Linked DNA regions of Coturnix japonica. The protein of the gene in region 1 purifies or fractionates together with the protein of each later gene. This does not show direct contact. Links are inferred from orthologs where the notes say so. Each region holds a gene or a part of one and is shown in the gene's direction. Other genes may lie near its edges.

What was found.
Region 2: the proteins of SF3B1 (region 1) and SNRPE purify together in Homo sapiens (co-immunoprecipitation; 4 studies listed by BioGRID and IntAct, counting the BioPlex papers as one, with this or other methods). This does not show direct contact. The link is inferred for Coturnix japonica from reciprocal best matches to the Homo sapiens genes SF3B1 and SNRPE.
Region 3: the proteins of SF3B1 (region 1) and SNRNP200 purify together in Homo sapiens (co-immunoprecipitation; 4 studies listed by BioGRID and IntAct, with this or other methods). This does not show direct contact. The link is inferred for Coturnix japonica from reciprocal best matches to the Homo sapiens genes SF3B1 and SNRNP200.
Region 4: the proteins of SF3B1 (region 1) and SNW1 purify together in Homo sapiens (co-immunoprecipitation; 3 studies listed by BioGRID and IntAct, with this or other methods). This does not show direct contact. The link is inferred for Coturnix japonica from reciprocal best matches to the Homo sapiens genes SF3B1 and SNW1.
Region 5: the proteins of SF3B1 (region 1) and YBX1 purify together in Homo sapiens (co-immunoprecipitation; 3 studies listed by BioGRID and IntAct, with this or other methods). This does not show direct contact. The link is inferred for Coturnix japonica from reciprocal best matches to the Homo sapiens genes SF3B1 and YBX1.
Region 6: the proteins of SF3B1 (region 1) and MFAP1 purify together in Homo sapiens (co-immunoprecipitation; 3 studies listed by BioGRID and IntAct, with this or other methods). This does not show direct contact. The link is inferred for Coturnix japonica from reciprocal best matches to the Homo sapiens genes SF3B1 and MFAP1.
Region 7: the proteins of SF3B1 (region 1) and PLRG1 purify together in Homo sapiens (co-immunoprecipitation; 3 studies listed by BioGRID and IntAct, with this or other methods). This does not show direct contact. The link is inferred for Coturnix japonica from reciprocal best matches to the Homo sapiens genes SF3B1 and PLRG1.

What each region holds. Positions count from the first base shown.
Region 1 is NC_029522.1:38,392-41,891, forward strand, and holds part of SF3B1 (splicing factor 3B subunit 1), read left to right. Parts: intron 1-434; coding exon 435-632; intron 633-720; coding exon 721-822; intron 823-1,480; coding exon 1,481-1,660; intron 1,661-2,094; coding exon 2,095-2,181; intron 2,182-2,307; coding exon 2,308-2,578; intron 2,579-2,832; coding exon 2,833-2,978; intron 2,979-3,063; coding exon 3,064-3,210; intron 3,211-3,385; coding exon 3,386-3,500. UniProt on the Homo sapiens protein: Component of the 17S U2 SnRNP complex of the spliceosome, a large ribonucleoprotein complex that removes introns from transcribed pre-mRNAs.
Region 2 is NC_029541.1:2,015,870-2,020,095, forward strand, and holds SNRPE (small nuclear ribonucleoprotein E), read left to right. Parts: upstream 1-1,436; 5' UTR 1,437-1,542; coding exon 1,543-1,596; intron 1,597-2,128; coding exon 2,129-2,155; intron 2,156-2,537; coding exon 2,538-2,600; intron 2,601-2,693; coding exon 2,694-2,772; intron 2,773-3,448; coding exon 3,449-3,504; 3' UTR 3,505-3,726; downstream 3,727-4,226. Other genes in the region: MTCH1 (mitochondrial carrier homolog 1), read right to left, coding at 1,139-1,336. UniProt on the Homo sapiens protein: Plays a role in pre-mRNA splicing as a core component of the spliceosomal U1, U2, U4 and U5 small nuclear ribonucleoproteins (snRNPs), the building blocks of the spliceosome.
Region 3 is NC_029537.1:1,047,411-1,050,910, reverse strand, and holds part of SNRNP200 (U5 small nuclear ribonucleoprotein 200 kDa helicase), read left to right. Parts: intron 1-51; coding exon 52-240; intron 241-383; coding exon 384-581; intron 582-880; coding exon 881-1,033; intron 1,034-1,146; coding exon 1,147-1,227; intron 1,228-1,403; coding exon 1,404-1,487; intron 1,488-1,958; coding exon 1,959-2,065; intron 2,066-2,169; coding exon 2,170-2,288; intron 2,289-2,519; coding exon 2,520-2,674; intron 2,675-2,849; coding exon 2,850-3,039; intron 3,040-3,193; coding exon 3,194-3,367; intron 3,368-3,500. UniProt on the Homo sapiens protein: Catalyzes the ATP-dependent unwinding of U4/U6 RNA duplices, an essential step in the assembly of a catalytically active spliceosome. Plays a role in pre-mRNA splicing as a core component of precatalytic, catalytic and postcatalytic spliceosomal complexes.
Region 4 is NC_029520.1:35,692,692-35,695,833, reverse strand, and holds part of SNW1 (SNW domain-containing protein 1), read left to right. Parts: intron 1-503; coding exon 504-620; intron 621-950; coding exon 951-1,092; intron 1,093-2,534; coding exon 2,535-2,631; intron 2,632-3,142. UniProt on the Homo sapiens protein: Involved in pre-mRNA splicing as component of the spliceosome. As a component of the minor spliceosome, involved in the splicing of U12-type introns in pre-mRNAs.
Region 5 is NC_029536.1:5,554,770-5,557,190, reverse strand, and holds the end of YBX1 (Y-box-binding protein 1), read left to right. Parts: intron 1-218; coding exon 219-301; intron 302-393; coding exon 394-640; 3' UTR 641-671; intron 672-1,538; 3' UTR 1,539-1,921; downstream 1,922-2,421. UniProt on the Homo sapiens protein: DNA- and RNA-binding protein involved in various processes, such as translational repression, RNA stabilization, mRNA splicing, DNA repair and transcription regulation.
Region 6 is NC_029525.1:18,263,623-18,267,789, forward strand, and holds the start of MFAP1 (microfibrillar-associated protein 1), read left to right. Parts: upstream 1-1,367; 5' UTR 1,368-1,474; coding exon 1,475-1,553; intron 1,554-1,790; coding exon 1,791-2,010; intron 2,011-2,222; coding exon 2,223-2,352; intron 2,353-2,666; coding exon 2,667-2,854; intron 2,855-3,222; coding exon 3,223-3,331; intron 3,332-3,404; coding exon 3,405-3,565; intron 3,566-3,807; coding exon 3,808-3,967; intron 3,968-4,167. UniProt on the Homo sapiens protein: Involved in pre-mRNA splicing as a component of the spliceosome.
Region 7 is NC_029519.1:18,049,370-18,052,869, reverse strand, and holds part of PLRG1 (pleiotropic regulator 1), read left to right. Parts: intron 1-685; coding exon 686-825; intron 826-1,549; coding exon 1,550-1,743; intron 1,744-2,396; coding exon 2,397-2,456; 3' UTR 2,457-3,500. UniProt on the Homo sapiens protein: Involved in pre-mRNA splicing as component of the spliceosome. Component of the PRP19-CDC5L complex that forms an integral part of the spliceosome and is required for activating pre-mRNA splicing.

The sequences.
Region 1 (3,500 bases):
TGAGTTCAGAAAGAAAGCGCAAATGTGGAATGACAGGAGAGGGTGACAGATTCTGACTTCATAAATATACAGTGTTGATACAAATATTGAAGGTGGGGTTGGAGGTTAAGTTTAGAAACTTAAATAGTTTCTAAAGACTTGTTAAGTCCATTACCCAAGCCCTCTTCTGAAATACTGTCAATAGAGAATAAGCATGAATATGAACTATCCTGCTGAATTTGTGAATTAAATCACTGTATGTGGGATCTGATGTATGCAGTAACACACAAATCTATGGAGGGCTAAAAACTTATGTTCTGTTTTATTTCTGTTCTGCATTTGGGACCTTGCTCAATTTGCATCTGTTGTGGTAAGATGAGCCTTGAAGGCTGTGAAGGTTCTTTACATTAGTTCTCTGGTGCAGTTTTTAGCATATTTCCTTCTTTCTTCTGCAGGTTCTTCCCCCACCAGCTGGTTATGTACCTATTCGTACTCCAGCACGTAAACTTACGGCAACTCCCACACCTTTGGGTGGTATGACTGGATTCCACATGCAGACAGAGGACCGGACTATGAAGAGTGTCAATGACCAGCCTTCTGGCAACCTTCCATTCCTGAAGCCAGATGATATCCAGTATTTTGATAAGCTGCTGGTAAATGATATTTCACTTGTGCTGATTAAAGTTTTCTGATCTTTTGAGGTATACCAATGCCTGTTAATTTGTCTGGAATTATTTCTAGGTTGATGTTGATGAATCAACTCTTAGTCCTGAAGAGCAGAAGGAGAGGAAGATAATGAAATTACTTCTGAAAATAAAGAACGGCACACCTCCCATGAGAAAGGTGAGATTAGCAGACATTCTTAGCACTTCATCTGTTAACACACTGCCATTGCATCTTCAGACTATGTCTTTCTTTTCACCTGCTTGTCCATAGGATTCTCTTCAAAATTACCTCCTAAGCTTTGCTGTGTGTTTAATGCTTTCTCTTCCATCTGTGTCCGTGTTGCTTGTTGTTGCTGCTCTTTGTGCAGTAATACTGATTGCTAAGTGTCATATGATTTACAGAATATAATACAATAATTCTTAATTATGGGAGAGAAGATTCTGTTGTGCTTTTTGGTTACAGGGCTTTGTAATTCTCTATATTTGGCTTCTTAAGAGCTATACTGCCAAAGTTCCTAGCTCGCTGATGCAATAGATTATCCATTTTTGGCCGTTTCACTCTAAGCTGATCTGAGCACCTGAAGTGAGTGCTGTGTAAAATGCCTTTTTAGATGGTGCCATTCTTAGTACTGAGCCATGCTTTCCTTGAAAATAGAATAACTGAGTCTTCTCATCATATGTATTTGTGTAGAAAATGGTGGTAGGAACAAGTATTGTGAAGCTCATGGTTACAATAGATTGTGTTTTAACTTGCTTAATACCTACTTGTCCAATAACTGTTCAGTATTGTTTCCTTAGTTTAAGTGACAGTTGCCTTTGTTGTTGTTGTTTTTCAGGCTGCATTGAGACAAATTACTGATAAAGCTCGGGAATTTGGAGCTGGGCCGTTGTTTAATCAGATTCTGCCATTGCTGATGTCACCAACACTGGAGGATCAGGAGCGCCACTTACTTGTCAAAGTCATAGACAGAATTCTGTACAAACTGGATGACCTGGTCCGACCATACGTACATAAGGTCTGTTGCAGTTTGCTCATCTTTGATTTGCTTTTTGTGATCATGGTTGGGGAAGTGTACAGTTCATTTGCATAGCAGAAGAGAAGGCAATATCATGTTGCTTTTGTGTTTCTTTCTCAGTCAAACTTGAACCTATTGTAGTGTGATCCAATTGCAGATATTACAGTACTAAGGCATAATGTTAAAACGTTAATGCACACTTGGGAGAGGGAGAGAGATTTTACCTGATGTAGCTAGAATCCGTGGGGGAGGTTCTTAAAAGAGAGTCGGAGGGGGAAAAAAAAGGCATAACAGATCTAAGACATCATAGGTCATCAAGTTGAAAGCTTGAATCCATGGAATTATCTCAGCTTCATGGAATCATAATTTTCTTACTAGGACCAGAAATAGTACCTATTCACAAATGGAAATGTGTATTTTTTCATCTTTTTCAGATTCTTGTTGTCATTGAACCACTGCTGATTGATGAAGACTATTACGCCAGAGTGGAAGGCAGAGAAATTATTTCCAACTTGGCTAAGGTAATAAATTGTAATCCTATGGTAGGAATTAGCTTGTATATAGCCACACGGAGCTGCTTATAGTCATGGCAGGAAAACGTAGCGTGCTGTTGATAAATCTGTGTGTTTTGTGTGTTCTTCTTTCAGGCTGCTGGTTTGGCAACAATGATTTCTACGATGCGACCTGATATTGATAACATGGATGAATATGTCCGAAATACCACAGCTCGAGCCTTTGCTGTTGTTGCCTCTGCTTTGGGCATTCCTTCTCTGTTGCCGTTCTTGAAAGCTGTCTGTAAAAGCAAAAAATCCTGGCAAGCGAGGCATACAGGCATCAAGATTGTGCAGCAAATTGCTATTCTTATGGGTTGTGCTATCTTGCCTCATCTCAGGAGCTTGGTTGAAATTATCGAACATGGTACGTTCTGCTTTCTTTAGCTTAAGATTTGTATTTAGAATGTTTCTCCTTTGCCTTGTTGGGATGGAGTGTTAATAAGGCAAAGTTCTGTGTAGCCTTTTTTACAGTGAGAAATAACTTGCTTGACTTCAAAAGAGAAACACTGATTGTTTTCCTAAAAACTAAATGATTGCTTTTTTTATCCTATCTGCATGTTTTTGCTATTTTGAGTGTAAGATACGCAAAGTTGTACTAAAGAGTGTGTTCTTTCGCAGGTCTTGTGGATGAGCAGCAGAAGGTTCGTACCATCAGTGCTTTGGCTATTGCTGCTTTAGCTGAGGCAGCTACTCCCTATGGTATTGAGTCATTTGATTCCGTTCTGAAGCCCTTGTGGAAGGGTATACGTCAACACAGAGGAAAGGTATGTCTAAAATACTTCCAGTTTAAACTGAAATGAATATGTATCTTCCGTAACTCACTGGGAATATATTTTTTCATTTAAATAGGGGTTGGCTGCCTTTTTGAAGGCTATTGGTTACCTGATACCGCTCATGGATGCTGAGTATGCCAACTATTATACCAGAGAAGTCATGCTTATTCTTATCAGAGAGTTCCAGTCTCCTGATGAAGAGATGAAAAAGATTGTTTTGAAGGTACGTCAGAATTATTTGTTCAGACACTGGCAGTGGAATAAATTAAACTGATAAAAACTGAATGTTTAGTGTTAACATTGAATATATGTTTCCTTTTCTTTAAGACAAAACCAAAACACCACAACCAAACAAACTGTACACAGAATTAACACTGTTGGCTTTTTTTTCCCACTAGGTGGTAAAGCAATGCTGTGGTACAGATGGTGTTGAAGCAAACTACATTAAAACAGAGATCTTGCCACCATTTTTCAAACACTTCTGGCAGCACAGAATGGCATTGGACAGGAGGA
Region 2 (4,226 bases), on another chromosome or scaffold:
TCCCATGATATAGGCAGTCCCTTTCCTGTTACTCCTCTTGGGGTACAGGAGGCCCCCATCCCCCTCATTTTATAGGGTTCCCTATTACAGAGGGGTTCTGAGGATGAAGAGGGATGAAGACCCACATTCAATCCTTTGTTATATAGGAATCCCCATTGTGTGGGTATCTTCATCCATCCCATTTTATGGGGTCCCCTCACCTGTCACATAAACAAGCCTCCACTGCACACGTTGGTCTTTATCTTTGGTATATATGTTTATATATGAGTTCCCATTCCCTGTTATACAGCTGTCCCTGATGCAGCAATATCCCAATTCCCACAGTGCTCCCCATTCCATCCTCACAGCTACAGGTGGGATCCATACACACAGATAACGGTGACTGAGTGCCACCCCATCACACAGCACGACCCTCCTCACCCCATTACCCCCCTCAACACATTATAAGGAGGGAACCCCCATTGCCACATATGGGGGATTCCCTTTACACAGGGTCCCCATAGCCCCCTATGGGGTTCCCCATCATTACACAGGCCGTCACCCCCATATTAACCCCCTCAACACATTATAAGGAGCTCCCATTGCCACATATGGGGGGTTCCCTTTACACAGGGTCCCCATAGCCCCCTATGGGGCTCCCCATCATTACACAGGCCATCACTCCCCCATTACCCCCCTCAACACATTATAAGGAGCTCCCATTGCCACATATTGGGGGGTTCCCTTTACACAGGGTCCGCCATAGCTCCCTATGGGCGTTCCACCATCATTACACAGCCTCACCCCCCATATTAACCCCCTCAACACATTATAAGGAGCTCCCATTGCCACATATGGGGGGTTCCCTTTGCACAGGGTCCCCATAGTTCCCTATGGGGTTCCCCATCATTACACAGGCCGTCACCCCCCATTACCCCCCTCAACACATTATAAGGAGGGAACCCCCATTGCCACATATGGGGGGTTCCCTTTGCACAGGGTCCCCATAGTTCCCTATGGGGTTCCCCATCATTACACAGGCCGTCACCCCATAGAGACGCCCCACGACCCCCCCTCACACCTCGGCCTACACCTCAGGCCTCCCCCCTGCCCCCACACGGGGGTCTCATCCCCCCCACACCCCCTTTAGGCCCCGGACCTGGACGAGCAGCTTGACGTAGAGCAGGGGGTGGCTGACGGCGGCGAGCCCAGCGCCCAGAGCCACGAACAGCCCCTCGGTACCGTCGGTTCGGCCCGGTCCGACCCCAGGCCCAGACCCGCCGCCAGGGGGCGCCAGCGCCACCGAGGGCAGCGGAGCTTCGCCCGCCATGGCCCCGCCGCCGCCACCACTGCGCATGCGCCGCCTCTTTGCGTATTGGTGGGCGGGATCTTAATGCGAGACAGCACTGGTGGGATCTGCGAGCAGTAGAGACGCGGTCCTCCCGCTTTCCTAGAGCGGCAAGTCTTCCAGCGTCCCTTGCGCGTTCCCGCCTTGCTCAGCGGCTTCCGGTGTTCTCTGCGACTTCCGGCGGAGCTTGTGGTGGCGGCGGGCAGGGAGTAGCCATGGCGTATCGAGGGCAGGGCCAGAAGGTGCAGAAGGTGATGGTGCAGCCCATCGTATCCTTGTCCGGAGGGGCAGGGGACGGGCCTGCGGGGCCTATGGAGCCTATGGGGCCTATGGGGCCTATGGGGCCTATGGGGCCTGTGGGGCCTATGGGGCCTATGGGGCCTGTGGGGTCTATGGGGCCTATGGGGTGTGTGGCCCTATGGGGGAATCTATGGGGCCTATGGGGTCTGTGGGGCCTTTGAGGCCTATGGGGCCTGCGGGGTCTCTGGGGCCGAGTGGGACCTTTGGGACCTATGGAGCCTGTGGGGCCTGTGGGGCCTGTGGGGCCTGTGGAGCCTATGGGGTCTATGGGGCCTGTGGGGCCTATGGGGTCTCTGGGGCCTGCAGGGCCTATGGAGCCTATGGGGTTTCTGGGGCCTGTGGGGTCTCTGGGGCCGAGTGGGACCTATGTAGCCTGTGGGGTCTATGGGGCCTATGGAGCCTATGGCGTCTCTGGGGCCGATGGCGAGTGGAGGGTAGGAGCGGCCCTGCAGGGCCTTGTGTCTCTCTGGAGTTGTTCCCGTCCTTAACGCTGCTCTACAGAACCTCATCTTCCGCTACCTGCAGAACGTGAGTACTGGGGCCGGGGCAGGGCTGGGTTCGCCTTTGGGTTTGTAACTTCTTGGCTGCTTTTGGAGCCCATCGGCTTCAAACGAAGAACTGGTGCTGTTTGGGAGCATAAGAGCTGGCTCAGAGATGAGCGTTCTCCCTTTGCATTAACACCTTTGTATGTTGATTGTGCCCCTGTGTGTGTAACACACACTCAATAACCCACACCTACAAGGTTCTGTGTTGGGAGTTGCTCTTTGGGGTGTTTCAGAGCTGCAGTGGCTGTTGGTTGCAAAGATTTCTCACCACATTACTAGCAAGGCTTTCTTAAATGCACAGAAGCAAAGACCAGCATTGCTTGAAGCATTTCTTTTCCAGTTTATTCACCCTGATTGTTTTGCAGAGGTCCAGGATCCAGGTGTGGCTTTATGAGCAGGTGAACATGCGGATAGAAGGCTGCATCATTGTGAGTACCAACATGTCCATGTGTTACCATTGGCTTTCCCACGTTCATGAGTCTGTGTGCTACCAACTGAGTGTTTTTGCCACTGATTTTCAGGGCTTCGATGAATATATGAACCTGGTGCTGGATGATGCAGAGGAGATTCACTCCAAAACAAAATCAAGGAAGCAGCTGGGTATGTCAACGTGTTATAGCATGAAAGGTGGTTGGGTGAGCCTTGCTGGTAGCAACACTTAAAGGTGGAAAGCACATGCCAGGTGTTGGTTTGGGAGAGCATTGGGCAGGTGCTGGCTCAGTCTTTGTTCCTGATGTTTGTTAAAGGTGATGATTTTGCTGAATGTAAAGGAGAATCTCCCTGTGCCTGAGACCAGTTGTTATCTTTTAAATGCTGTCTTTGTACAACTGAGGTGTCTGGAGGAGTCTGGTCCAAACTCCTTTGGGCTGTTTCTAAACTTGGTAGCCCTGAGCAATTCTCGTACCTGCTGGGTCAACTCTTGGCCAAAGCAGGAGCCACCTGACTGGTGGTATTTACTATTTACCGCTGCTGGAGAAGATAAAGCTGTCTGTGATGAGGGGATGCGTTGATTCGGATTGAGTTTATAGCAGGGACAGTGTTCTGCTGGGGCTGAGATGGTGTCTGAGAGTTGGGAGTGGATTATGAGTATGGACCCTGCCCTGCTATGCTTTCCATATGGGGCTGCCAGCAGGGATAGGACTCATTGCAACCCTCCCCCTCTATAATAGGGGCATCTTCTTGCAAGCATCTCCTGTTGTGGGATAATATGTGAAAACATGAGGTATTCTTGGATTCTGGGATCTCTCTAATCCCCCATTTCCTTTCTGTGTTGCAGGTCGGATCATGTTAAAAGGAGACAATATCACTCTTCTACAAAGTGTTTCTAACTAGAAATCGCTGTTCTTAGGGCAGTGATTGCAGTTCAGAATGGTTTGGAGTGAATGAAGAAGGTGCAGTGGGAGATCTACCCCTGCTGGTAGATAGAAAGTTACATGTAACTGGCATTGCATGCTGAGCTCAAAGTCCCCTCCTTTTGTAGGAGTGATTTTTTTTGTAGTCTGAAACAATAAGGGATGTATTTCCCAAATAAACATTTTTCACGTTGTCTGTAAACGGAAATCTGCATGGTTTTATTCTCAGCTTTCTATGCTTGGAGAAGGCAGAGAAATGTACATCAAGTGATTTGCTGTTGGTCCGATAAGTTCCTGATAGCTCTGTGCTTTTTGGGTAGTTACAACATGAGACAGGACAGGCTCTGGTGTCACTGTCAGGCTTGAGCATGCATGGCTCTAATTAAGTTTGTTAGAGGTTCTACGTGCAATTACCACCCTTTGTTGTCAAAACAGCTGGTTCCTTGGGTGCTTTCTGGTGGATCAGTGGGTTGGTGATGGATTTGAGGCTGTGATACAGTGATCCGACATCACAAACTATATTAATAGCTGTACTTTGGTAAAATATCATCATTAGATAGGGCAGCTGGTTGGGATTAAATCTATAATTTCTTCTTTGGGCAGCATCTCTGCATTAAATCCTAGTGCTGGGATGTCAGATGTGGCTGGATTTTATCACTATTATCCATGTAAGGATCTGTCCTATTTAAGTTTCCATAAGTG
Region 3 (3,500 bases), on another chromosome or scaffold:
AGAACTTGCCAAACTAGGAGCTGTTATTGAGCTCACTTTGTCATTCCTTAGATGCTGGGACGTGCTGGGAGGCCTCAATACGACACCAAAGGTGAGGGGATCCTCATCACATCCCATGGTGAACTGCAGTATTACCTGTCCCTGCTCAACCAGCAGCTCCCCATTGAAAGCCAGATGGTGTCGAAGCTCCCAGACATGCTGAATGCAGAAACTGTGCTGGGCAACGTCCAGAATGCAAAGGTGAGCTTTAGTTTGCTCTGTGGGTGCCACCCCTTTATTGCTGTGAGCCCAGAGAGCTGCTGGGGATGGTGGGAGCTTTGCAGTGACACAGCAGCTCTGCTTGGTTAGTCTGGGGTCTCTGATGGTGCATTGCTGTCCCTCAGGATGCAGTGAATTGGCTGGGCTATACCTACCTGTACATCCGCATGCTGCGCTCCCCCACTCTCTATGGCATTTCCCACGATGATCTGAAGGGGGATCCGCTGCTGGACCAGCGTCGTTTGGATCTGGTTCACACCGCAGCCCTCATGTTGGACAAGAACAACCTGGTGAAGTACGACAAGAAGACGGGGAACTTCCAGGTGAGGAAGGGAGAGGGGTTATAACCAAGCAGAGCCGGGCAGGAGTGTCCTCTGGCTGAGAGAAGGGGGGTAAATTAGTGATTAATCAGTGATTAAACACAGATCCCATAAGGAGAAGGTGTGAGGAGTGGAGCTGCGTGTTGACAAAGCAGCTTTCCTTGGGGGATCTGTGGGCTGAGGGATTACCTGCAGCTTGTCTGGTGGTGTTAGCCCTGCTATGGCCATCGTGCCTTCTCTCTATGCCACAAACAGTGGGGTGTCATTCTGCTGCTTTGCTATGGCTGCTGTCTTTGTTGCAGGTGACGGAGCTGGGCCGCATTGCCAGCCACTACTACATCACCAACGAGACGATGCAAACGTACAACCAGCTCCTGAAACCCACCCTGAGTGAGATCGAGCTGTTTCGGGTCTTCTCGCTGTCCTCGGAGTTCAGAAACATCACAGTGAGGGAGGTAAGGAGCCATGCGTGTGTACTCAGTGATACAGCCCTGATGCTGCAGGGGATGCTGCAGATCTTTGTCTCATGTTGGGGCTGTTTCATCACTCCTCCATTGGATTTCCATAGGAAGAGAAGCTTGAGCTTCAGAAGCTGTTGGAGCGAGTTCCCATCCCTGTGAAGGAAAGCATAGAGGAGCCCAGTGCCAAGGTGAGCCCAGTCTGCCCAAACCAGGGGTCTGCTGTGTCCACCTTAGGACAGCATCCATCCCTATAGGAGCTGCCGTGTGGGCCTGCAGCTCTGGAGAGCTTAGAGCCCTCTGAGATGTGCTGCTCACACCGTGGGGATGCTCACATTGCTGAGATCCCTCTGTTCTGCTTCCCCAGATCAACGTGCTCCTGCAGGCCTTCATCTCCCAGCTGAAGCTGGAGGGCTTTGCCCTCATGGCAGACATGGTGTACGTTACCCAGGTGGGTGAGGAACAGTGGCCAGGGCCTCTCCATCTCCTCAATGGTGTCTGCTGGTGGGAGGGACAGCAACCTGCAACCCAGGGGTTGAGTTGGTGTTTGAAATGACTTGGAACATAAGTAGAGCTGTGAGTGGTAGGGAGAGACAGCTCCCATCGGGATACAGGTTTGATCTTTGGAGTCTTTGGTTTCTAATTAGAATCCTGAGGAGGTAATTGAGAGGCTGCAGGGCTGTTCTGCCATAAACACCAAAGCTGCCAAGGCTGGGAGCTGAGTCAGTGCGCCTCCATTGAGTGGCTGGGGGTGAAGAACGTGAGCTGAAAGCAGAGGATGGAAGTGGGGAGGGGGAGGTGTTGGATGTGATGATCCCATGGAGGTGGGGAGGGGGAGGTGTTGGGTGTGATGATCCCATGGAGGTGGGGAGGGGGAGGTGTTGGATGCCACAATCCCAGCTGAGCTCTGATGCCCCCCCAGTCTGCAGGGCGGCTGATGAGAGCCATCTTCGAGATCGTCCTGAACCGGGGCTGGGCTCAGCTCACAGATAAGACCCTCAACCTCTGCAAGATGATCGACAAGCGGATGTAAGTGACAGCACCTGTATTGAGCTTAGGCTTCCAGGGGTGCCTTGGTGGGCAGCATTGGGACCCCAGTGAGGCCTGCAGCTGTGTGGGTGCCGTCCCTGCAGGTGGCAATCCATGTGTCCTCTGCGCCAGTTCAAGAAGCTGCCTGAGGAAGTGGTGAAGAAAATCGAGAAGAAGAATTTCCCTTTTGAACGGCTCTATGACCTGAACCACAATGAAATAGGTACTGGGAACACAGGGGGGGTGAGCCTTGAGGGTGCTGAGGTTGGGGCGCCTGATCCTGGCTGAGACCTGGTGTAAGGTCTTATGCAGCCTGAGTTAGACTGGGGCTTTCCTGTAGCTCTTCTCATTGTCCAGCTGTGCTCACGTTGCAGATATTGCCCTGGGTGAAGTCCCAGAGCTGTTATTAACCCTGCCGTCCACTTATCCTGATGGCAGCTCCTTTCTCTTGCAGGAGAACTGATCCGGATGCCCAAGATGGGCAAAACCATCCACAAATACGTCCATCTGTTCCCAAAGCTGGAGCTCTCGGTCCACTTGCAGCCCATCACCCGCTCCACCCTGAAAGTGGAGCTCACTATTGCCCCCGACTTCCAATGGGATGAGAAGGTGAGCAGTGAAACCAAGGGGAGCTGCCCTCAGTAAAGAAGGGCTGTGAAATACAGGCAGGCTGAGCATCACAATGGGGGTAGGGTGGTGTTTCATGGGGCAGGATTGCTGTGATGCTGTTCAGTCCCTGGAGCTCTGCATCCAGCAGCATATGGTGATGGTTCCTCTTGCTCAGGTTCATGGCTCATCCGAAGCCTTTTGGATCCTGGTGGAGGATGTGGACAGCGAGGTGATCCTGCACCACGAGTACTTCTTGCTGAAGGCCAAATACGCCCAGGACGAGCACCTGGTCACCTTCTTTGTGCCCGTCTTTGAGCCTCTGCCCCCGCAGTACTTCATCAGGGTGGTGTCTGACCGCTGGCTCTGTACGTCCCACCCTGCCTACCTGTCTCCCAATGGGGTCTTATGGGGGGGTATCAGGTTTTGGGGCTGCCCTGGGTGGGGAAGGGCTGCTGTTATCCTGGTGACATCCAGGCTGAGGCAGCTCTCTGAGATAGAATCACTTTGTGTGTCTGACAGCCTGTGAGACCCAGCTGCCCGTCTCGTTCCGCCACCTGATCCTCCCTGAGAAGTACCCCCCTCCCACGGAGCTGCTGGACCTGCAGCCCCTGCCCGTCTCTGCCCTGCGGAACAGCGCCTTCGAGAGCCTCTACCAGGACAAGTTCCCTTTCTTCAACCCTATCCAGACTCAGGGTGGGTACCAGCTCTTCTTGCCTCCTCCAAGCTGCTGCTCCACGGCTCCTGGTTCTTTTGGCACTCACAACCCCACAGCCTCCATCAGGCACAGAGATTTGATGCTTCTAAATGTTTTATGGGCCGGATGTGT
Region 4 (3,142 bases), on another chromosome or scaffold:
GTTATCTAAGGGATCTTAAAATATCTATAGATATTTGCAGATTTCAGCAGGCAGCATCTAGAGTCTCTTGCTTTTGCTTACAGCCTTGGCCCTTAATTTCTCATTTTTGAGTCAGCCAGTCTCTTAATAGGTTTAAAAACAGTTCAGGGGAGTCGAGTTTTAAATACAAATGGTAAAACTACTTAGAGAGTAGGAGAGCTGTCATCTGGAATTCTTAAAGCAAAAGGTGGAGCTTATTAATCACAAATTCATTCTCATTCATACTTGAACAAAAAATGTGATCTAGATTTGAGGTGGGGGTGGAATTGCTTATTATTGCCTGGTATGAATTTGGAGTACGTCTAAAGAAGGCCCCTGGAGGGGGGCCTGATGATACAATGAATGATTGGCTGACTTCTGTGATAGTGTATTTTTTTTGTTGTTGTTTTCTTACCCAATAAATGCAATACAAGTTTGCTATTAAAAGCCTTACTAATTTCTGTAACTGCTCATCTCCTCTTTAGGGTTACACCATCCCATTAGACAAGCGTCTGGCTGCAGATGGAAGAGGACTGCAGACTGTTCACATCAATGAAAACTTTGCCAAGCTTGCTGAGGCTCTCTATATAGCAGACAGAAAGGTCAGGTGGTTGTTTAAGCTGTTCTGTTTCATGTGGTTGTACCTTTATTATGTGCTTGATTCCTTGGGAAAATCAGCTGGGAGAGTGCTATAGCTTTTTGGTCTGTCCTGCTTCTAGGCTACTGTAACGTTTTTATCCCCAGTGTGTTTGAATCAGCGGCTCAGTGTGGATTAAATTATCGCAGGTCATGTCTGTTGTTCCTCAGCTTGAATTTTGGTATTTTTCTGGTTTTGAACTTTAACTATAGGACTCAATTCTTCCCATTTACCGTGTAACTCCGGGACAGAAGATCTGCATCCCAGGTGCTAACTAGGGGTCTTATGTGTGCAGGCTCGTGAGGCTGTGGAGATGCGTGCCCAGGTGGAGAGGAAAATGGCTCAGAAAGAAAAAGAGAAACATGAGGAAAAGCTCCGAGAAATGGCCCAGAAAGCAAGAGAAAGGAGAGCAGGGATTAAAACCCACGTTGAAAAAGGTACATTTTGTTGCTGAGGTTCTGTGGAGTCGTTTGGTTTTTTGCACTCTCTGAAGTGTAGGTTTGCAGAAATAACCTGAGAAATTAAAATATCCAAATTCGTTTGCTTAATTCATGGGGATCTGAATTTCAACGTCAGGTTGAAGGAGGTTGTTGAGAAATTGATCACTGTATCAGTACAGTGGATGGATCATTACAACATAAGGGCTTTCATGGACTGTTGTAATTTGATTTCTTTTTCAGAAAAGGCTTGTTTTGACTTCATCTGTGAGCACTAAATGATCTTTAAGTTTTCAAAGATGGTAAACGCAGTATTCTGTCTCTGATGTTGTTATAATTGGTCTTAAGGAGAAGTAGCTTTGGCTACCAGGCTCAGAATCTAATAACCTAACTAAATCATAGCCATTGTGGTGTGTTATGTCTTGATTGAAATGACATTTCAGAGATCAGGGTGCTGAACTTACAAAGCAGTTCTCTTAATGTCACTTAAAGGTGGAGAATGTGGTCATATACTGCAGCTGGGATGGACTAATCTGTTTCCAGCAGTACAGGCTGAGAACTAGCAGGCTGCAGAGCAGTTGTGTTCAGAAGCACCTCTGGGAGTCCTAGCGGACGATGTGCTGAAGAAAAGCTATAGCAGCACGCCCTGGCAGCAGTATTCCTAGGGGTATGCTAAGCTGCATCAGCAGGAGTGCAGCCAGAAGGACAAGGGAAATAGTTGTTTTTCCTTTACTGGTCATCTGCTAGACTGCATCTGGAATAGTGCCCACTTAAGGGACTCTCAGTTCAAGACAGACATTGATGAACAGGAATGAGTTCAGTGGAGGGTCACCAAAATGGCCAGGTGGCCAGAGCATCTGTGTGGTGAGATGCTGAGAGAATGAAGCATGCTCTGCCTGCAGTAGAGAGAGCTTGATGGTAACCTAATGTCAGCCTTCCTATGGAGAGATCAACAGCTACACTGTGGAAGAATGAGATAGTGGTTAAAAGCTGAAGTGTGTGCTTCCACCAGTGTACGCAGAGAAACAGATTTCATCATGAGGACAAAAAACAGTGGAACAGGTTGTCCAGGTGCTTGGAAGATGCCTTGTATTAGAATGACATTTTTATACTAACATGTAACAGAGAAGAGGGTATGACACAATCATCTGCAGCTGTTGGGGATGTTAATTTGTAGGTGGACAAGAATTCTGAGCTCTTTAAAGTTCAGAAAACATAGTTGTTGTGTATGTGTGCTGTAACTCTCTTGTCAAGGACGTTTAATTGCTTGTGGCGTGAGAAAGTTACTGTTCTCCTTTCTAATTTGTTTAAAAAGTAACATATGGTGCTAAGGATCCCTTCTCTTTTGGAAATGAATATTGAATCACTGTGCCAATGTCTGTGCTGTAGTTTAATTCAGACTTGAGTAGCTGTCTGTAATAAGCAATCTTGCATGTGTTCAGAGGATGGAGAAGCTCGAGAAAGAGATGAAATAAGACATGACCGACGCAAAGAGAGACAGCACGACAGAAATCTCTCCAGAGCAGCTCCTGATAAAAGGTGAGTCACAAGCAAAGAAGCTGCTTCATTACTGTACTAGTACAGGATTCCCCACTACAGAAGCTATTACATACAGCTTTCTCCATTTCCTTGACATCAGTGCCTGAATTTTACCTTGTGGAGATGCTCACTGGTGTGAAATGGTTTTATTGTGTTAGAATATGGTGGTGTTCCTGTGATTAGGGTTTATGCAGGAAATAGATTGCAATCATAATATTGAATTAATGTATAGTATTTTAAGTTGAAAGGAAGTGTGGGGCTACCCTGCGGTAAGTGTTAGGCATTGATATAGCACTTGTTTGTAGAATCCATGTCTTTGGAAACTTAAACTTAAGACTATATGCAGTCAGATGTGTCTGACTCAAATGTTGTGAATTTTCCAGATAAGAGAAAAGGTTTTAGTTATTTATTGTCATTTTTGTTGTTTTGGGTGGGGTTTTTTGTGTTCTTTTAGAGGGAGGAAAGGGTTGCTTGGTTTGCACATCTGCAGCGTATTTGGGCTTGATGACTG
Region 5 (2,421 bases), on another chromosome or scaffold:
GATGTGCTCTGTAAGGCTTAGCAGTGAGATAAAATGCCTGAGCAGATGTTGGCACGGTGTTGGGTACAGCTGTTGAAAAGCAGTGTGTTAACTTCTGGTACAAGTAACTGGGCAAAGAGGAAGCTCTGTGTAGTGCACTGAGGCCGCTGTCTGCCTTGCAGCCCTCTGTGTGGTTTGACTGCCTGGCTAAGAACATTTCTTGTCTCGTTGTCTTCCAGGGTGCTGACAACCAAGGTGCAGGAGAACAAGGCAGACCAGTCAGGCAGAACATGTATCGAGGTTACAGACCACGATTCCGCAGGTATGCCGCAGATCAGCTCTTGCTTTAGCCTTGTGCTCTAGCAACACAGCCAGGACATCGCAGTGCTCAGATGCTGCATTGTTAAAGCCCAGCTTGACTTTCAGGGGTCCTCCTCGTCAAAGACAGCCCAGAGAGGATGGAAACGAAGAAGATAAAGAGAACCAAGGGGATGAGACCCAAGGTCAGCAGCCACCTCAACGTCGGTACCGTCGTAACTTCAACTACAGACGCAGACGCCCAGAGAACCCTAAACCACAAGATGGCAAAGAGACGAAGACAGCCGAACCACCAGCTGAGAACACGTCCGCTCCCGAGGCCGAGCAGGGCGGGGCTGAGTAAATACCGGCTTAACATCTCTACCATCATCCGGGTACGTGTTGGGTGCTCTGGGGGGTGTGACTGGACAGTGGGCTCTTTACTTTGTGATGCTTCCCTTTGAGTTCTGCTTGTGTTAATGCACGTTGGAACTGCTCTGCTTGCTGGCTCTGCAGAACAGAACTGAGTGCTGGTTAACTGGGTGGGCTCTGCTACCGGGCTTTAAATTTCCCCGGTGGAATAAATGCATAGAATATTGCTAATCTTTAAACCTCAATCAGTCTCTGCTATGATAGTTCACCCACAAGAAGCATTTTGATGCTGGTGTGGTGACCTGAAAGCATTCTGCTAGGAGAAACAGGTGTGTGAGGATGCTAGCAGCTCTTCAGGCTTGCCAGCATTGTGGCTTTGGTTGCCCTGCCCTGAGGGCTGGGTGCTGGTTGGCTTTAGCACCTCTCCACATCTGTTTCTCATAAATAGATGTTGAGTTTGCAGGAGCATTTTGGTAGGAGCTTCTCACCTGAAAAGGGATACACTTGGTGTTGCATGGGCTGCCCTGTAGGGCTGTGGTACTGCTTGTCTGCAGGGGTGCATGGGGTCCCTACTGAAAACGCTGTCACTGCAGAGCTATTTGCTTATGCTGTCTTATGTAGGCACTGGTTCTTTGCTTTCAAAGGCAGGTATTGGTGCTAAGAGGGTCTGGTGAAGGGTGTTAATGGGTGCCCTTTCTCCTGGATCCCTCTGCTCTGGCTTCTGGTGCAGGCTTCCAGTTTCTATCACTGCAGTATAGGCTGATGGGGAGCTGTGTGTGATAAGATGCGTATGCAAAAACAGAGCATGAATTTAAACTGTAGGTGAGCCTCAACATGCTGAACACATCCACATGACGCCACGTCTGAGATCCTTTATTCCTTTCTTTCAGTTTAGTCATCAAAGAAAAGACTTAAAGAAATGAAGAAGAAAAGAAAATGAAATTCCAGCAATAAGAAATGAACAAAAAGAATTGGAACTGAAGACCTGAAGTGCTTGCTTTTTGCTGTTGACCAGATTACAAGAACTATCTGCATTATCTATGCAGCATGGGGTTTTTATTATTTTTACCTAAAGAAGTCTCCTTTTGGAAACAAGAAACGCGTTTTTTAAAAGTCTGTTTTTTCTCAATACACCTTTAAAGGTTTTTAAATTGTTTCATATATCTGGTCAAGTTGAGATTTTTAAGAACCTCATTTTTAATTTGTAAGAAAAGTACGCCTGATTTTTTCAAGTCAAACTGCAAGCATCTGTTAATAAAGGTCTTAAAGTTAATCACGGCCTGCTCTGGTTCATTCAAACCCACCTCTGTGGAAGCCGAGCAGTTCATTTGTTGCTCAGCAGTTGTGGATTTGAATGTTGGTACTGCTGGGTTTGTGCCCTCAGCTCTATGCGGGTGAAAGGCTCTTAGTCCAGCACATGGAAGTGATGCTTCCATAGGCAAAACAGGAGGAGCAGCGCAATGAATGCACCGCCGGGTCTGCCCATGGACGGCTCTAAGCGCCCTGTGGCTTCCCCTCCTTCCCACTAATGAGCGCTCTGCTTTTATCATGTTAATGCTCGCTCTTCTAATTGCTTTCCGGTGTGCTGGAGCACCAGCCATTAGCGGCCGATGCGTCTGTGTTGTGCTCTATCTCTAAATGCCTTTCAGCGTTTCTGGCTGCCCGGTAGAGCAGCAGCTTCCACCTGTAAGAGCCGCTCTTTGAACCACGGAGCTGTTGGACTGCAGTCAGCACACACAGCACAGGGGCAGAGGCTCGCTGCTGCAGCCACGG
Region 6 (4,167 bases), on another chromosome or scaffold:
TCACTCACTGAGTCATACATTGAAGCTCGCTCCTTGCCATGGTGACACGGGAACCATTAGGTAGGAACACGCTGTGATAACCACACAAAATTGATATCTCAGCTGATGACTGGGAGCGGAGCAGGAGCTGGGCACAGAGCTCTAATTGTCATCGGGACATCAAGGCCAGGAACACCAGGAAGGACTTGCCTACCCCCAAGCACTGCTGCTGCAGGAGCACAAAGCCACCAGTGCCCGAGGCAGCGGGACAACTGCAGCACTGGGGTCTGGCTGCACGCACAGCAGAATCACAGGGACCCTGGAGCGGCCAAAAGCTCTGCCTGGGCCTGCTCAGTGGCAGCTCTTCTCCTGCCACAGCACCAGCAGGGTCAGGCTTACCCAGGAGCTGTTGTGCCCAGGGGACCCACCCTGCCAGCACAAGGGAATGCTGAGGTCAGTCCCCAGGAGCAGGTCTCACTGCCTGGCACCCCCGTGCTGATTTCCCGGAAGATAAAACCTCTTCCCTTCTTTTGGGGAGGCACCGCAGCGCTGCAGACGCGGTTGTGGTGGCTGGTGACCCAGTTTTTCCTGGCTTCAAGAGAAATCTTATCTCCTGTGGTTGGCTGCTACCGCGTGGGCAGCTGCTACGAGTTGGCGCTGGGCTGCTTTCCTGCGAAACCCAACTGGTGTGTGAAGGGCTCTGACGTGAGCAGCAACAGCTGGGGCAGGAAACCTGCCCGCTTCCATGTAGGGGCTGCTCCTGCGGGTAATTCCCTCTGCCCTGGGCCGGTGCTGCGGGAAAGTCCTGGCAGCCAGAGGGCGGGGGACAGCCCGGGGAGAGCCCTGCAGAGCGATGGTAACCGGTAAATTCAGCACCGAGGTACGCCGCGCATTCAGCACGATGGTAACCCGGGCATTCCAAGCACCGATGGGCAACCCGTTTCAGCACCGTGGTAACCCGTATTCAGCACCGATGTAACCCGGTATTCAGCACCGATGGTAACCCGGTATTCAGCACCGATGGTAACCCGGTATTCAGCACCGACACTGAGCGCAGCCTCCAGCCGCAGCCACACGAGCAGCAGGGGCAGGACTCGGCAGCCGGCCCCGGGAATCCCGGGCAGGGACCCGGCGCGGGCCGGGGCTACGTGCGGCCGGCTCCGCAGCACGTCACCACTCCCGAGCCCCGAAGCGATGAGCGGAGAGATCACAGCGGGGCCGATCTGAGCCCTGAGGGGAACCGAGCCCTGAGGGGAACCGCCGCTGCACCGCGACCGGACCGGGCCGAAACCAGCTCCACATCCGGCCACAGGAGCCGGAAATGACCTCCACGCTGAGCGTCACTTCCGGCGGCTTGCGACGGTTCGGCGCGCGTTCACTTCCGGTACGCCGGCGGAAGCGGGAGTTGCAGTTCCGGGTGAGCGGTCGGTCTGTCGGTCTGTCGGTCGGTCGGTGCTGTGAGCGGCTGCGGTTCGTCCCGTCCCGTCCCGCCGCCATGTCGGCCCCCAGCGCTCTCGTGAAGCAGCCGCCCATCCAGTCCACGGCGGGCGCCGTGCCCGTCCGCAATGAGAAGGGTGAGTGCGGGGCGCCGGGAGGGGCGGGGGGCGCGGGCACGGCGGCGGCGTGAATGTTCATGGCATGAATGCACATGGCTGCCCATGGCGCCCTGCTCATGGCCCGGCTGCCCATGGCTGCCCATGGCTGCTCACGGCTGTTCATGGCCCGGCTGCCCATGGCGCCCTGCTCATGGCCCGGCTGCTCATGGCTTCCCGCTGCTGTTCCTCCCGCTGCTGTTCCCCCCCCTCCCGCAGGCGAGCTGTCTATGGAGAAGGTGAAGGTGAAGCGGTACGTGTCGGGGAAGCGGCCCGACTACGCGCCCATGGAATCCTCGGAGGAGGAGGACGAGGAGTTCCAGTTCATCAAGAAGGCGAAGGAGCAGGAGGTGGAGCCCGAGGAGCAGGAGGAGGAGGTCGCCAACGACCCGCGGCTGCGGCGGCTGCAGAACCGCATCACTGAGGACGTGGAGGAGCGGTGAGTGCTCGGCTCCGGGCTCTGCTCCCTCCTCGTGCTCCCCCCCAGCTTTGTGTTTCCGGGCTCCTGAGCACGCAGGGGATGCCTCTTTCCTTCACACGCTTCGTGGTCCCGGGTCTGACTACGGTCTCATTAGAAACAGATCGCAAAGATTTCTCTTCTTTAGTCTCCTTGTGTTCAGAGCTTCGTAGTCGAGTGGACATTTGTTGCAGGCTGGCAAGACACCGCAAAATTGTGGAGCCTGAAGTGGTCGGAGAGAGTGATTCTGAGGTAGAAGGTGAAGCGTGGCGTGTGGAGAGAGAGGACACCAGTGAAGAGGAAGAGGAAGAGATCGATGATGAGGTTCGTTATATTGCTGAGCAGATGTGGCCTGGGAAAGTCCCCTTAGGCCCTGTCTGGAATTCGTGCTTGCAGACACACGTGAACTGTGGTGAGACTGGGTGGATGTTGGGACCTGAGTTAAAGCCAGCTGTGGTGTGACCACAGCCTGTGGGTTATGGGGCACCAGGGAGGTCACCTGCGTTCTGAGGTGTGGGCTTATATAAGCAGTCAACATCATATCATATAAGCTCAACATCATGCTTTTTATATGGAAAAAGGAAGGAAGCGATAGTGGGGCTGGTTGGCTGAGTCTGTGTTTGATGTGTCTCCATTAGGAGATCGAGCGTCGGCGTGGGATGATGCGTCAGAGAGCGCAGGAGAGAAAAACTGAGGAGCTGGAAGTGATGGAGCTGGAAGATGAGGGCAGATCTGGAGAAGAGTCTGAGTCAGAGTCTGAGTACGAGGAGTACACAGACAGCGAGGATGAAATGGAGCCACGTCTCAAACCTGTCTTCATCCGCAAGTAGGTGATAAGGTGATACAGCTGCATGGGCCAAGCACTGCATCAGGGATGGGCAGTGACTGACCTGGTAGGGCATGGCTGGGTACTTCCAACTGGGGACTTTAGGCAGGTACAGCACAACAGAAACCAGGTAGTGTGCTCCAACATGTTCCACAGCCAGTAGCAGGGTCTCCCATCACCTTTGTGCATGTCTGCAGATGTGAGGAGACTGAGTATGGTCGCTCTTGAATGAGCAAAATCAGAAAGGAGAGAGCCTTGGGACTTGGCCCTGCCGTGGGGGGCATAAAGACTAAAAGAGGCTGCAGTGGGAGCAGAGGTCTGCAGTGGCATGTTGAAAGGCTGAAGGCTTTTGTGGTCCCTGCTCACAGGAAGGACCGGATCACAGTTCAGGAGCGAGAAGCAGAAGCCTTGAAGCAGAAGGAGCTAGAACAGGAGGCAAAGAGATTAGCAGAAGAGAGGCGCAAGTACACACTCAAGGTACAGCGGGGCAGACTGGGGCATGCATGTTGGGGCAGCCATTGCAGTGAGCTGAGCTTGGTCTTGGCTTCAGATCGTGGAAGAGGAGGCAAAGAAGGAGCTGGAAGAGAATAAGCGCTCGTTGGCAGCACTTGATGCTCTCGATACAGACGATGAGAATGATGAGGAGGAGTACGAGGCTTGGAAAGTACGTGAGCTGAAGCGCATCAAACGGGATCGTGAAGAACGAGAAGCGTAAGTACTGTCTGCTTAAGGCAGGGGAGGGTCCCTGCAGTCCCAGGCCCTGCAGGACAGCGGGCAGTTGAGGCGTCTCTTTCTCAGTCTTTGTTTTGGCAGCATCAGGAATTTTCTTGAGGTGCTTTACTCCATTATGGAGTCAGTCAACGTATTCGTCAGAAAGTCCCGGGTGGCAGCAGCTGTCCCATCTTGGGAGGGCACTGAGGGATGCAGGGGCTCAGGGTTTCTCTTTTGCCCAGCATGGAGAAAGAGAAGGCAGAGATCGAGCGGATGAGGAACCTGACAGAGGAGGAGCGCCGTGCCGAGCTGCGAGCCAACGGCAAAGTCATCACCAACAAGGCAGTGAAGGGCAAATACAAGTTCCTGCAGAAGTACTACCACCGTGGCGCCTTCTTCATGGTGAGTTCTGCTGCCAGGCCTGGGGCTGCGTGGACCACGTGGCTGTTTTGGGGGAGTTTTCCCTAGTGGTACCCAAGTAAGGGCTGGCCAAGCACACAGGACCAGAGCTGGCCCTCAACAGCAGCGTGCTGCTGAAGTGACTGAGGGGATCTGAGGTGCCTGTCAGGTCTGGCAGGCAGGGTGAGTAAAGACACGAATGC
Region 7 (3,500 bases), on another chromosome or scaffold:
TAATGCTTAAAAATGTATATATCAGTAAGCTATATGTGTAGCACCTTTACTGCTCTGGGCTTCTCAGGAATTGGTTTTCATACCCAGAATATATTGCAGTCAACAGAATTTCTTTTGCATGTGCTTTGGCATGTTCCTTGAAAAATCAGCAACACTGAGCATGATAAAGCTAATAATAATTTAAGTAACTGATTGGTTATTAGCAGAAAGAGACACGTTTCTGTACAGTTTCTCAGCTGTGAATATTACTAGTGGAGGCAGTGATTAATAACAAGTGATTTTTTTGTAATGTGTGCTTCGTTGCTCAAGATGTTTCAATCCAAGTAGCCTTAAAAAAAGAAAACGTTCTTGTGGGTGTTTAATCTTTGAAGCAGGTGTTGTTTACGATGCTGTAGGTTAAGATATCTTCGCTTTGATACATCCCAAGTTTATCCAGATAAGTTACCATTAAGACAATGGAGAAAACAAACTTGCATAGAATTTGCTTTTATTTCAGTATTTTGTCCTTGCTTGTGTGGGTTTGGAAACCAAAACCTTTTTTCCCCTCTGATACCTCTGCTGATGATGCCCTTCTACTGAATTTCTCAGAATAACAACAAACGAATGTATTATCTTCCCTGCTGTCCAAAGAAATCTTTTATACCCCCTTCTATATCTTCAATATCCTGTGCTTATTTTCTTTCAGTTATACATTTGCATCTGGTTCTCCAGATAACATTAAGCAGTGGAAATTCCCAGATGGAAACTTCATTCAGAACCTCTCTGGTCACAATGCTATTATCAACACATTGACTGTAAATTCAGATGGAGTTTTGGTCTCAGGAGGTAAATGAAAAATGCACATTCATATTCTTTCCCACTCCTCACAATGTACATATGACTGAAGGTTCTTAGGGTCAGGATGTTCCCTTAGCTCTCTTGGACTTATAAACCTGCTATAGCCTACATCTTTGTTTTGAAAGAAGTAGAATCCCTTATATTTTTTGGTTCTGCATGCCCAAAAATGTGTTTGAAAGCAATCTGAAATCTCCAGTAGGGAAGATATTTCTGAACAGAGAGCTTAATGTTCAGAATATCAGTCTTTTCTTTGCTTCCAAAGCAGTGTGCTGCCTTGTGGGTTATTTGATTCAAAACGGGATGAGATTCTGAGGAAGCTTCACCAGCCTACTTAAACAAGATGAATCTTCCCTCTTAGCTAAGAAAAACAGGAAACCTGAGCAACCTGATCTAGCTGTAGGTGTCTCTGTTCTTTGCAGGGGAGCTCTTGGCTAGATGGTCTTTGTAGGTCCCTTCCAACTTAGATGATTCTGTGTCTGTGTTGTACTTCGAATGTTGCTTTCAGTTTTGGGCTCATAGAGCTTCTCTTTACAAGAATGATATTGAGTCGCTCAGACCATGTGCAAAGAAGAGCAGTGAAACTGTTGAAGGGACTATAAAATAAATGTTATGAGAAGTGGATATGGAAGCTTGATCACAATACTGTTTTTAGAAGAATGGTAGAAATTAACTGGGTGAAGTACTAATTATTTTTGCTTTGATTTATTTTCAGCTGATAATGGTACTATGCATCTTTGGGACTGGAGAACTGGCTACAATTTCCAGAGAGTACACGCAGCCGTACAGCCAGGCTCTTTGGACAGTGAATCAGGAATATTTGCTTGTGTTTTTGACCAGTCTGAAAGCAGATTGCTAACTGCCGAAGCTGATAAAACCATAAAAGTGTATAAAGAAGATGATACTGCGGTATGCCAAAGCATCTCTTTTATATATTTTCATGAATTCAAAAGATTTCAAGTAAACTTTAGGCACAGCAGCAAGGAACACGTATATACCCTTGTTGAATCTGTTCTGTTAATATTTGAAAAGAACATGTATGCATAAATCTAAAGAGGACAGCAGCTTCCTCCTAATTTCTTATCAACTGCTATAGAGCAGATAAGTTGCATGTCCATCAAATCTACTCAAGTCATTTTTGTTAAAATTTGGGAAAATCTACCCAAAATAGCAGCGGATTTTGTGTTTAGAAGGTGCTCAAGAATTTTTTAGTTGTAATCATTAAAACATGAATTAGCAAGAGGGTTACGTTTTAAATACACACACACACACACACACACACACATATATATGTATATATATACGATATGGGTTTATTCCCACCCATCACCTCACAAAAACAGGAAGAAAAGATAAAAGCAGGAACAAGTTCTATTGTGTCTTTCAGGCAGGAATGATATTGTAATTTAATTTGGTTAAATGAATTGGGTAACTTTATTGCTTTGTATAACATGGAGTATATATCCTACGTAAGTAATATTTTAGACTAAACCCTAATTACAGATTATTCTCAAGTTAAAAACAGAATAATTCCTTACGGGGCTTCTGTTCTTCCCTTTCAGACTGAAGAAACTCATCCTATCAGCTGGAAGCCAGAAATTATCAAGAGGAAGCGATTTTAATGCAGCAACATACTTGTGCTATATTGTCTTCTTTTTGTCTTTTTTGAGAGCTTTCAGTCACATTTTGTTCTGCCTACAACAGAAGTGCAGGAAGTCAGCCAGTCTTTGCTTTTTCAGTCTGTTTTCCAATAAATTTTATTTCTTTCTTTTTGTCTTTTTTTTTTTTTTTTTGATTGTGTGATCCTGGCAAACAGGTTGCAGCTGTCAACCTTCTTTTTGTGGAGCATGTGCTGCTGTTCATGAAGAGGATAAATGTACAGGTGGTTACTTGTTTTATATGCGTCTACTGAGCGTGAATCTGAAAAGATTTTGGTGAGCTGGAAGGCCCTTGCTTTGTTCCTAAAGTAACTGAATTCACCCTAGAGTCCATCTACAGGAAACTTCTTGAGTGACACTTTTAGATTGTAGAGCAATGTTGTTTACTGTGTTTGTGTTTAGTAAATACTGTAATGGAACATTAAATATGCTCAATTGCAAAATAACAGGTTAACCAATAAAGAAATGGGATATTACAGTAATAATGTAGTTTCCTTGGACGGCACCACACTGGCAATCCTCAGTGGCTTTGTTATTGAATCAAATTGACTTTCCAAGAGTTTCTTTCCCTAGGAAAGCTTTCATATGCAACTCCATATCTTTGCTTATTTCATTTTGCAGTGGACCTGATATAATGAGAGCCACTGTCAGATTATATTGCTTAGTTAGCACGGGGCTAGGACCAGTTGACTTTATAAATCACGTGTCATGCTTTCTTTCAGTTATCTGAAGTATTTGTGACATTCAGTTACAGGGAACTCCTAAACCTGAGTTCTGAAGAAAAGCTCTTAAGTGATTCCAGTCTTAATTTTATTTAGTTTTGTCTCCCTGTGATCTTACAAAGGGTTTAAAGTACGTATATGCATGTATGTATATACACACCCTGAAAGTTTACTAATACTCCTGAAGGGGCAAATGTGTCATTGTGTTTACCACAGTCATGCAACTAGCAGTATCCATGTAATGCTCTTTGCTGCAGTTTCTCTTTGTTGTTAATAATGTTCATCA